Schizosaccharomyces pombe: one gene and its partner. Changing the gene in region 1 together with any one later gene gives a genetic interaction. Each region holds a gene or a part of one and is shown on either strand. Other genes may lie near its edges.

The links.
Region 2: of cis4 (region 1) and ubc4, extra expression of one rescues a mutant of the other (dosage rescue), as found in Schizosaccharomyces pombe (one study listed by BioGRID).

What each region holds. Positions count from the first base shown.
Region 1 is NC_003424.3:4,725,861-4,731,590, reverse strand, and holds cis4 (Golgi zinc importer, CDF family, Cis4), read left to right. Parts: upstream 1-2,249; 5' UTR 2,250-2,532; coding exon 2,533-4,731; 3' UTR 4,732-4,809; downstream 4,810-5,730. Other genes in the region: trm401 (tRNA (cytosine-5-)-methyltransferase), read right to left, coding at 1-1,503, 1,549-1,671, 1,711-1,757, 1,808-1,840; DNA replication pre-initiation complex subunit Cdc45, read right to left, coding at 4,831-5,127, 5,169-5,730. UniProt on the Schizosaccharomyces pombe protein: Probable zinc transporter involved in Golgi membrane trafficking through the regulation of zinc homeostasis.
Region 2 is NC_003423.3:713,135-716,811, forward strand, and holds ubc4 (ubiquitin-conjugating enzyme Ubc4), read left to right. Parts: upstream 1-2,150; 5' UTR 2,151-2,198; coding exon 2,199-2,318; exon of another isoform or gene 2,319-2,397; coding exon 2,398-2,475; exon of another isoform or gene 2,476-2,633; intron 2,634-2,846; coding exon 2,847-3,092; 3' UTR 3,093-3,177; downstream 3,178-3,677. Other genes in the region: 19S proteasome regulatory subunit Rpn3, read left to right, coding at 1-961. UniProt on the Schizosaccharomyces pombe protein: E2 ubiquitin-conjugating enzyme that catalyzes the covalent attachment of ubiquitin to other proteins. Mediates the selective degradation of short-lived and abnormal proteins. Mediates ubiquitination of pex5.

The DNA.
Region 1 (5,730 bases):
CCGTTTTTTTCTGCTATCTCTCTTGAAAGACTTCCAAAATCTTGTCTCACAAAAATTTTGAGACCACCATGCACGAATTTAACACGATTACGATTGTTCTCAATTACGTTTCTGAAAAGATCGTTGGAAATATAAATGGCTTTCGTAGGGACACCATTGACATTTCTAACGAAAAACTGATTCTTCTTTATGATAGCTTCATCAATGCCAAACTTCTTATAGATTTTCTCGAGAGCTTGATCGTCCTCTTTTATATACACGAAAGGATCCAATTCGTGAAATCGATTGCCCCCATTTTTTCCTTTTGGTTTAACTTCGGCTAATTTTGAATCCGAAGATGTTTCTTGAGTATCTTGTTTACGTTTTTTTGATGCTTGTTCACTTGGCAACTTTTGTTCTCGTAAAAAAACCTTGTTATCGTCGACGGCAGTTTTCATAGAGCTAGTAAGATTTTCATATTTTTCTAAAACTGCAACAAAAAAGCCTCCAGTATTTTGGAAATGTGGATAAATACGTAAGCAATTTTGAATATTCAGCTCAGCAAGTTCTTTCTTTGGTAGTGGCCATAAAGTAGGAGGCATTTTTTCGTAAAGCTCCTTTGGCAAGGTATCAAATGAAGGATAAATATTTAGATCGGAATCACAAACTACCCAGTTATCAACACCTTGACTACGTTTTAACTGAGGAAGCTCCGAACTAACATCCACCAACCTTACAGAACCTCGGGTAGCATTCAAGACAGCAGAAACCACTGCCTCATTTTCAATTGGATTTAATGAACATGTTGAATACACCAATCTTCCTCCTTTTTCCAACAGTTGTAAACCTCTCATTAAAATCTTAATTTGTGTCGCGTGAAGCCCTAAAGCTGTTTTCAAAGACCACTCATTCCATAAAGCAATGTTTTTTCTAAAGGTTCCATCTCCAGAGCATGGGACATCAGCAAGGATACGATCAAACTTAAGGAACTTTTTACCGTCGGGAGAAGATAGATGGAAATTCGGCAAAAAGGAAGCATCGTGATTAACAATTAACACATTTGGAGAATTTAATCGCTTAATCTGATGTACAAGCATATGCGCTCTTTTATTGTCACTATCATTTGCAATAACAATTCCTGAAGGCAACAAAGTAGTAATATCTTCTTTCTTAGTTGGTTTGTGAAGTGCCTCGAGTAATTGAGCTGTCTTAGAACCAGGCGCCGCACACATGTCCAAAACTTTGTGGTGACTCTCTACATTAAGAAGTAATGGTGGAACCATACTTACAGATTCTTGCCTGTTTATGTCACCCGCTTCTGTTTCAAGTACAAGAAATTCTTGAAGTGCCTTGAGATGAGGGCTTTTTCGAATAACTTCCTTAGAAATGTCCAGCATAAAAGCCATTCCATCAGGATACCATGGAAGTGAAACTGGCAAGGGGATTTTCGCATCCTCAGTTCTTGCATTCTCAATGAGTGGATAGTAGTGTTCTATAAAATAATCACGAACTTGAGTAGCATGACTTTTAAAATGATTAGAAACAAAAAATAATAATGTTTTTACTTACGGAATCGATGCAGTTATTCGAAATGTTGTCGGGAGTTGTTCAGTAAGCTTTTGCTTTAAAAGGATAAAGTCATCCTCCGTCACTAATTTCTGAAGCCTGTAGTACTTTTCAAAGTTTTCATTTCTATCTAGTAAGTAAACATAATCTGAAGTCATGACTCACTTTCTCTCAATTAAATCCCAGTTTACAAACTCCCCTTTTTTAGACCTCTATTTAATACACATTAGTAAGATAAAAAATAAATTAATTTCGTACTAACATTTTTTTTACTAGAATAATGCTTACGACCCATCTTAAACTCCTCCTTTTCCTTATCAACGTATCGAGTTGGTACAAGACAAGCAATTTTCAATGCTGGATAGTGCGTATTTTGTTAGCAGATTACAAAATTACTTTGACCTATTTTCAAGGAAAAAACTCTCAAAAATATTTTATTGAATTAACAAGAAGTTATATTGTCTGCTTTGCGACATTTTCTACAGATCTTGGATAACTCAAGAATTTACGAATATTGCACATTGTTATTGTGGATTTGCTTCGCACCTAAGTGAGATTATGAGGGGTTGTACATGAATTACTAAAAATGAAACTGTACGAGTGCTTACTTTTAAACATCAATCTTATATTATCTTAAAATCTCGAATGTATAAAGACTGTGTTTGTGTTGGTTGACTTAATTTAGCGTGTTAGGTCTTTTTGACAACTACAACCATTTCATGTTCGATTTAGAATATCTCAAATTTAGTTAAACAGAAGTTTGACTATAAGACGCTTTTAATAACTTTCAACGTTTGATTTTAAATAGTTAAGACCACTTATTAACTTTGTCAAATTAACTTAATGCACTTTCACATCCAACTCAGGATTTAAATTTCAAAACAGGATTACTCTTTATTTTGTTTTCTTTATTCTTTAGTTAAGTTTTGTTAATCATTCAATTTTTTAATAGTCAACCACAGCTTTTGGGTGTTCCTGACGACAAAAATGAATGTTAATTCTTCTGCGTTCGAGAGAACCAATAGGTTCCCTTCTTTTCCTGTTTTAAAAGACGACCAAAAGACAAGTTCTGATTCAATTGCTGCAGCTAAAAAAAAAGATTTGTTATCGCTCATTTCGAGTAAATCTTTGCTATCATCTGAAACACTAGGATGGTTTTCTGTAATTTGTGCATTCTCCATTACTGGTTCTGGTCTTGAAGTCAATACCATGTCGATTCCATTTTACCTTATTTTTGGCATCTTTGCTTTTGTCAGCTTTACTACTCAATATTTGGGCATCTATTCATTTTCGTTCCAACCTTTTCAGTTATTAAATGTAATAATCGCTTCTTTATCGATGGTATTCATAACTTTAGGTGCCTTTGTACTTGGAACTCTAGACACGACTTGTTTGTTATTGCTAGCTTTCAAATTATTTTTTATTCGTAACGATCCTACACCATTTAATGCCAGATCTGCTAATTTGAAGAACTATATAGCATTTCCAATATGTCTTTTTGTCATTAATCATATCCTAATACTGTTGGGTTATTTCCAATGTTCTTATTCCGTTTTTTATGCCAGCGTTTTTTATATACTTCTTGGTGTCTTCATTCGAGTCTTTTACCTTGTGAACAAAGAGAAGTTTGAAAAGAAGGAATTGGCATTCCTTTTTTCTTCTATCGTTGTGGCTTGTCTCATTCAATTTAATGTCCTTCCGCTTGGAACAATCAATCTATCAGTCACTCGTTTTACCATTCTTTGTTTTATGCAAATTTTTTGCATCAATTGGGATGGAATTGCCAGAATTCAATTTTACTTGGGAAAATTCGATATTTCTTTAATTATGGCCCTAATTTCTGCCATTATTAACAAGACAGCTTCTCAAAATTCTATCAAGATCATATCATGCCTCTATCAAGTAGGATTTTGCTTCTTTAAAATTGGTTCTTCTATAACAGCAAACTTGAAGCTTCCTGACAACAGCCGTATTTACCGACTTTACAATGATTTCATAGTGAATGGAGTGCTTGCCGATAAAGAGTCAAGAAGCATATTTTATTTCTTCCTTTTAAATGTTTCTTATATGTTTGTGCAAGTTATTTATGGTCTTTGGACAAATTCTTTGGGGCTTATTTCAGACGCAATTCACATGGCTTTTGACTGTATTGCTATTCTTGTCGGTTTAGTTGCTACGACGCTTGCCAAGATGCCTCTAAATTATGCTTACCCCTTTGGATTTGCAAAAATTGAGGCTCTTTCGGGTTTCACTAATGGTATTTTTTTAGTTTTGATTTCATTTTCTATCGTCGGCGAGGCATTATATAGGTTATTTCATCCGCCCCAAATGAATACCGACCAATTGTTGTTGGTTAGTTTTTTGGGCCTTGTTGTGAATTTGGTAGGTATCCTAGCGTTCAATCATGGGCATAATCATGATCATGGGTCTCATCACCATCATTCCCATAGTAATCATAGTATGTGTCTGCCTAACACTACAAATGATATAAATATTTTTGAAGAGTTTGAAGAAGAAAAAGATAATGTTGAAGCCCAGAAAATGGGCTATACGAATGACGATCACGTATCCCAACATGAACATACCCATGAGAATAGTCAGGAACATCACCATGAGCATAACCACAATCATGATCACATCCATAAATACAATGAAAAATGCGACCATGAAAGCATAAGTCTCCAGAATTTAGACAATGATCATCACTGTCATCATCACCATGAAAATCATAATATGCATGGCATATTTCTGCATATTATCGCAGATACTATGGGCTCTGTTGGAGTTATTGTCTCTACTATATTAATACAGTGGTTTTCATGGACCGGTTTTGATCCTTTGGCATCTCTAATAATTGCTGCATTAATATTTGTTTCTGTACTTCCATTAATTAAAGATTCGGCGAAGAATTTGCTCTCTGTGACTGATCCAGAATCGGAATATTTATTGAAGCAGTGTTTGTCGAACATCAGTTTAAGTAACTCCGTTATCAGTTTATCCAACCCTAAGTTCTGGACAAACGAAAGAGGTGAAGTGTATGGAATACTCCATATTCAGGTGAGCATAGACGGTGATTTAAACGTGGTTCGTAATGAAGTATTTAGGAAGCTCTCAATCGCTGTACCAAATTTAAAACACATTTGTATACAATCTGAACGGCCAAACAATTGCTGGTGTGGAAAATAGTTCTTACATCAGTTGATATCCATACTTATTTACGTGTAATTTTAATTAGATGAATTAATATTTTCTTTATTAGCAAAATTCCCATTATTTACCCAATCTTTATAATAGTGTTTTGAAGGACAGACTTTCTAAAAAAACCCCGAGGTCACTTTTTTGACACTCAATCACACTTGCTTCAAAACAGTCCATTTGCAAAGTAGCAGATGTCATGTTTGCAACCTCTTGAAATGCAACTCCAAAACGATTGTGTCCATGACCGTCGTCATCATCGTCATCTTCATTGCTAGTAAAAGCGGAAGTAGAAGTTCCAACTATTAAGTACCTATTTTTTTCCTCTACAAAAGCTGCTAAAACAAGAGGAAGATGTCTAAGCTTTCCAAATTCTCGTTCTTGCTCCTTCAAGTGTTAGTCAAACGTTAAAATCAATAGACACTTACATTAATAGCTTCAGCAATCCAAAGACTCATCTTTGTTAACGCAAGGGGATGCATAAATATTTTCAGATCTGGTCCTTCGTTGATAAGTCCAAAACGAAAAGATCTCAACGTTTTAATGGCTCTTTTTTCAAGTAAGGTGATTCCAGTACGAACAATGGCTCTTTGTAAGTGCATTGCTAACTTCAATGCTCTTTCTAATGAATCGACATCGTCCAAGGCGTCGTATGCATCATAAAAATTGTGCAACCATTCTTGATTTTGAGCATTTTCAAACTTCTCCAAATATTCTTCCTCCGTCATATCCGGGCTTCGAGCGACAGTTTTGCTTTGAAGCAAAACACCTGTATTACCCATTTCTAATAATGCACTGATAGCATAAGAAACGTCACTTGCACTAAGTGTACATTTGAATCCATAAGTCCGAGTAAAACTATGGAATATCACATCGTCTAAACCATAAAACGGTGCAAATCTTTTAAGACTACTTTTCAAAGTTTTTTTTAAATCCATGTTCATGTGAATATAAGTTTGTTTACACTCCACCAGACTGAGTCCCATTTTT
Region 2 (3,677 bases), on another chromosome or scaffold:
ATTCTTTGAAAAATGTAATAGGTCTGTAGAATGCAGGAACACTCTTTTGTCCGTTCATCGTACTGCATCTTTACGTCACGACTCTGAAACTCAAGCTATGGTTTTGACATTACTTCTTCGGAATTATATTCAGTTTAACCTATATGATCAAGCAGACCGTCTCGTTTCGAAAACATCCTTTCTTACGAATGCTAGTAATAACTTGGCAATTCGCTACCAATACTATTTGGGTCGAATTCGCGCCATTCAACTTGACTACACGACCGCTCATGAACATTTAGTTAGTGCTATACGTAAGGCTCCCAACACAGTATATGCCGTTCAATTTCTGGAAGCTGTTTACAAATTGCACATCGTCGTACAATTGCTTATGGGAGAAATTCCCGAACGCCGCATTTTCCGCCAAAAATCTCTCGAAAAAACTTTAGTGCCTTACTTACGTATTAGCCAGGCAGTTCGTATTGGTGACCTTTGTGCTTTCACTGACGCGCTTTCCAAGTATGAGGCTGAATTTCGCTTCGATGGATTGTATACTTTGATATGCCGCCTTCGCCATACCGTCATTAAGACTGGATTGAGGATGATCTCCTTATCTTATTCCCGTATTTCCCTTCGTGATGTTTGTATAAAGCTTGGTTTGGACAGTGAAGAGAGTGCCGAGTACATTGTTGCTAAGGGCATCCGTGATGGAGTTATTGATGCAAGTATCGATCATAGTAATGCCTTTATGGCTAGTAACGAAGCCATGGATATTTATTCCACCGAGCAGCCTCAACAAGCTTTTCATGAACGTATTCAGTTTTGTCTTGCCCTTCATAATGACAGCATAAAAAGTATGCGATATCCCATGGATGCTCACAAAAGTGAACTCGAAGGTGTGGAAGAGGCACGTAGGCGTATGGATAAAGAAATGGCTGAGGCAGATTTAGATGACGATGAGCCTGATTTGGGCGAATTTTAAAAAACTTATGGAAAGTTTATAGATCTTAAAATATACTTTCAAAGTTGTTCAGTTGTATGTTTCTTTAATGTCTATGAAAACTATATGTAGTTTACAGATTGAAATATTTAGTGAGTTTGCGAAGCTGTAACAGAAGGAAAGTTGTTGAAAAACAGTTTTCGATCGGTGCTACAACGCTACAAATGCGTTTGTTGTTTAAACTGAGACTTGGTCTTTGCACATTGTAATAAATGAGTAATACGCTAAAAACACAGGGGTTTGGAGAATGGTCGTGTGCTTTATTTTCAAATTTGTTGTTTTATATTTCGTATATAATACACGTATGCAAACACATTTATGGTTATGCTGTGAAGCAATACAGATTTGATCTTGGATTATGGTTCCAATCAAAGGTATACTTTAGTCTTTTTAATTATAAATGGCGAAATGGGCAAAAAATTTTTGTGCAAATTTATTTTTTGTTATGCATAACTAGAGCAAATAAAGCAATGCTATAAAATGGCTTCCGGCAGAAAATAATAACCACAGTGGATATAAGCTAGTTTTCTAACGTGACTTAAGTAACACTTTATAAAACCAAAGCTATACATTAGTCTCTCCCATTACCACTTTGTCAATTTTAGCTAAGTTAGTAGATATGATCAACACTATATATTTAAAGTGGAACGGCAAGCTCATTTTTTACGTTATAGTAATTTAACAATTTTGTCGATATTTTGAGCAATGGTGTATTCTGCTGTGGTCGCTACGGCGCATATCATCAAATATCGCCTGTCCGGTTTCTCTATTCGCTAAATACGGGAAGATACTGATATAGTCTATATTGTATTTCACAAGTAAAATAGTTTCTGAGTTAGCCATCATGTCGTCAGTTAAACTGATCCTCGTTCTTCAGTTCACTTACAAGCTCTTTTATTGATAAATCGTTATAATACCGCCCCCATAATATAATATCTGTAATTCTCTTTAATTTTGCCCTATTTGTAATACAATAGTATGCTGGATCCCGAAAAAATTTATCGTAACGTAGCGTATCCTTAAAAGGATAACAAACTGTTTAGCGGGTATTTTGCAGGTACAAAGCAAGTTGCGCCATCCTGAAAAATTGCTTACTCAGACAAAGTCGAACTCGTGTGATTTAGTGCATCCATCGGTTATATGTTATTTCTACCTCCGTCCACGTTCTTCCACGAGCAAACTACTGACTTTGTAAAATCGCAAAAGCAAACCAGTAACGATGGCTTTGAAAAGAATTAACCGTGAATTAGCTGATCTTGGAAAAGACCCACCGTCTTCTTGTTCCGCCGGCCCTGTTGGCGATGATTTATTCCATTGGCAAGCTACAATCATGGGTCCTGTAAGTCGCGGCTGTAATAGTGCCTTGCGCACTGCCAAAATTTTGCTTGCTAGGATTGTGCAGCTAACATGATATATAGGCTGACAGCCCTTATGCGGGTGGTGTCTTCTTCTTGTCCATTCATTTCCCTACGGACTACCCATTCAAGCCACCAAAGGTATGTAACTATTTAGTCTTGTGTAGATTATGTAAATACGCATTGTAAGCTTGTGAATCGGAGGAGGAAGTTTGTTATATACAATATGAATTGAAGAGTTGATTGCATCTTGTTTTTCTGGAAAAATCGGTATGGTTGACAGTGATGCAAAATTTTTTAAGTGTTATGGTGAAAGAGTATACGCAGAAGTTTTTTTATAATTGTTTACTCTTACCTTTTATCTTCATTTCTTTATGTTTTACCAGCGGAACTTTATCGATTTTTATACGATTGCGTCCATCCAAGTGAAGCGAGGGCAATTACATTGCGTAGCATTACGAATCTGATTGATAGTCTTTTTTTTTTAATGATAACTAACAGCATATTCGTAGGTAAACTTTACAACCAGAATCTATCATCCCAACATCAATTCAAACGGTAGCATTTGTTTGGATATCCTTCGTGACCAATGGTCTCCAGCGTTGACTATATCAAAGGTATTACTGTCTATCTGCTCATTGTTGACAGATCCTAATCCTGATGATCCGCTTGTGCCTGAAATTGCGCACGTCTACAAAACTGACAGATCCCGTTATGAATTAAGTGCTCGTGAATGGACTAGAAAATACGCAATCTAGAGTTTGTTTCTGTGTTGATATTAAATATTCATCTCTTTTGCGAATTGTTTTCTCCAATGTATTGTATAGTTTTTTTTTTTTTTTTTTGGTTTTGGTTTTTTAAATAAATAGTAGGGGATGGCGATAATGTAGCTAGTAAAGTTGCATCGTAAAATTGAGGATACAAGCTGCCTTTAAAACAAACTGTATTATGTTCGAGGATAAAGTATGATTTGATTTAGATAATTTTTATGATTTTTTGAATAGTACAAAATTTTTCTTTGTGTTTAATAAGACCGAATGGGTCCAGTTGGATTATTCCAAGAGCGTTTGTGCATATATTTTTAAAAAGGTACGTAAACACTGCCGATTAAGTGAAATATTGTGCAAGTAAAAGTAGAATAACACGAATGGAAAGTCGTGTTACGAAGAGAGTAAACGGCTCTACGTCTTTAAGGTTTTGCTAAAAATATTTATTAAACAAAACTAAGTAATAAACAAATTCCTTGTAGCGCCTTTTTGCTGAAAAGAAAATGATAATACTTGACATGCAATACGAAGTGATACTGCTATAGACACAACTCATAATAGCCAGTCAATTCAACT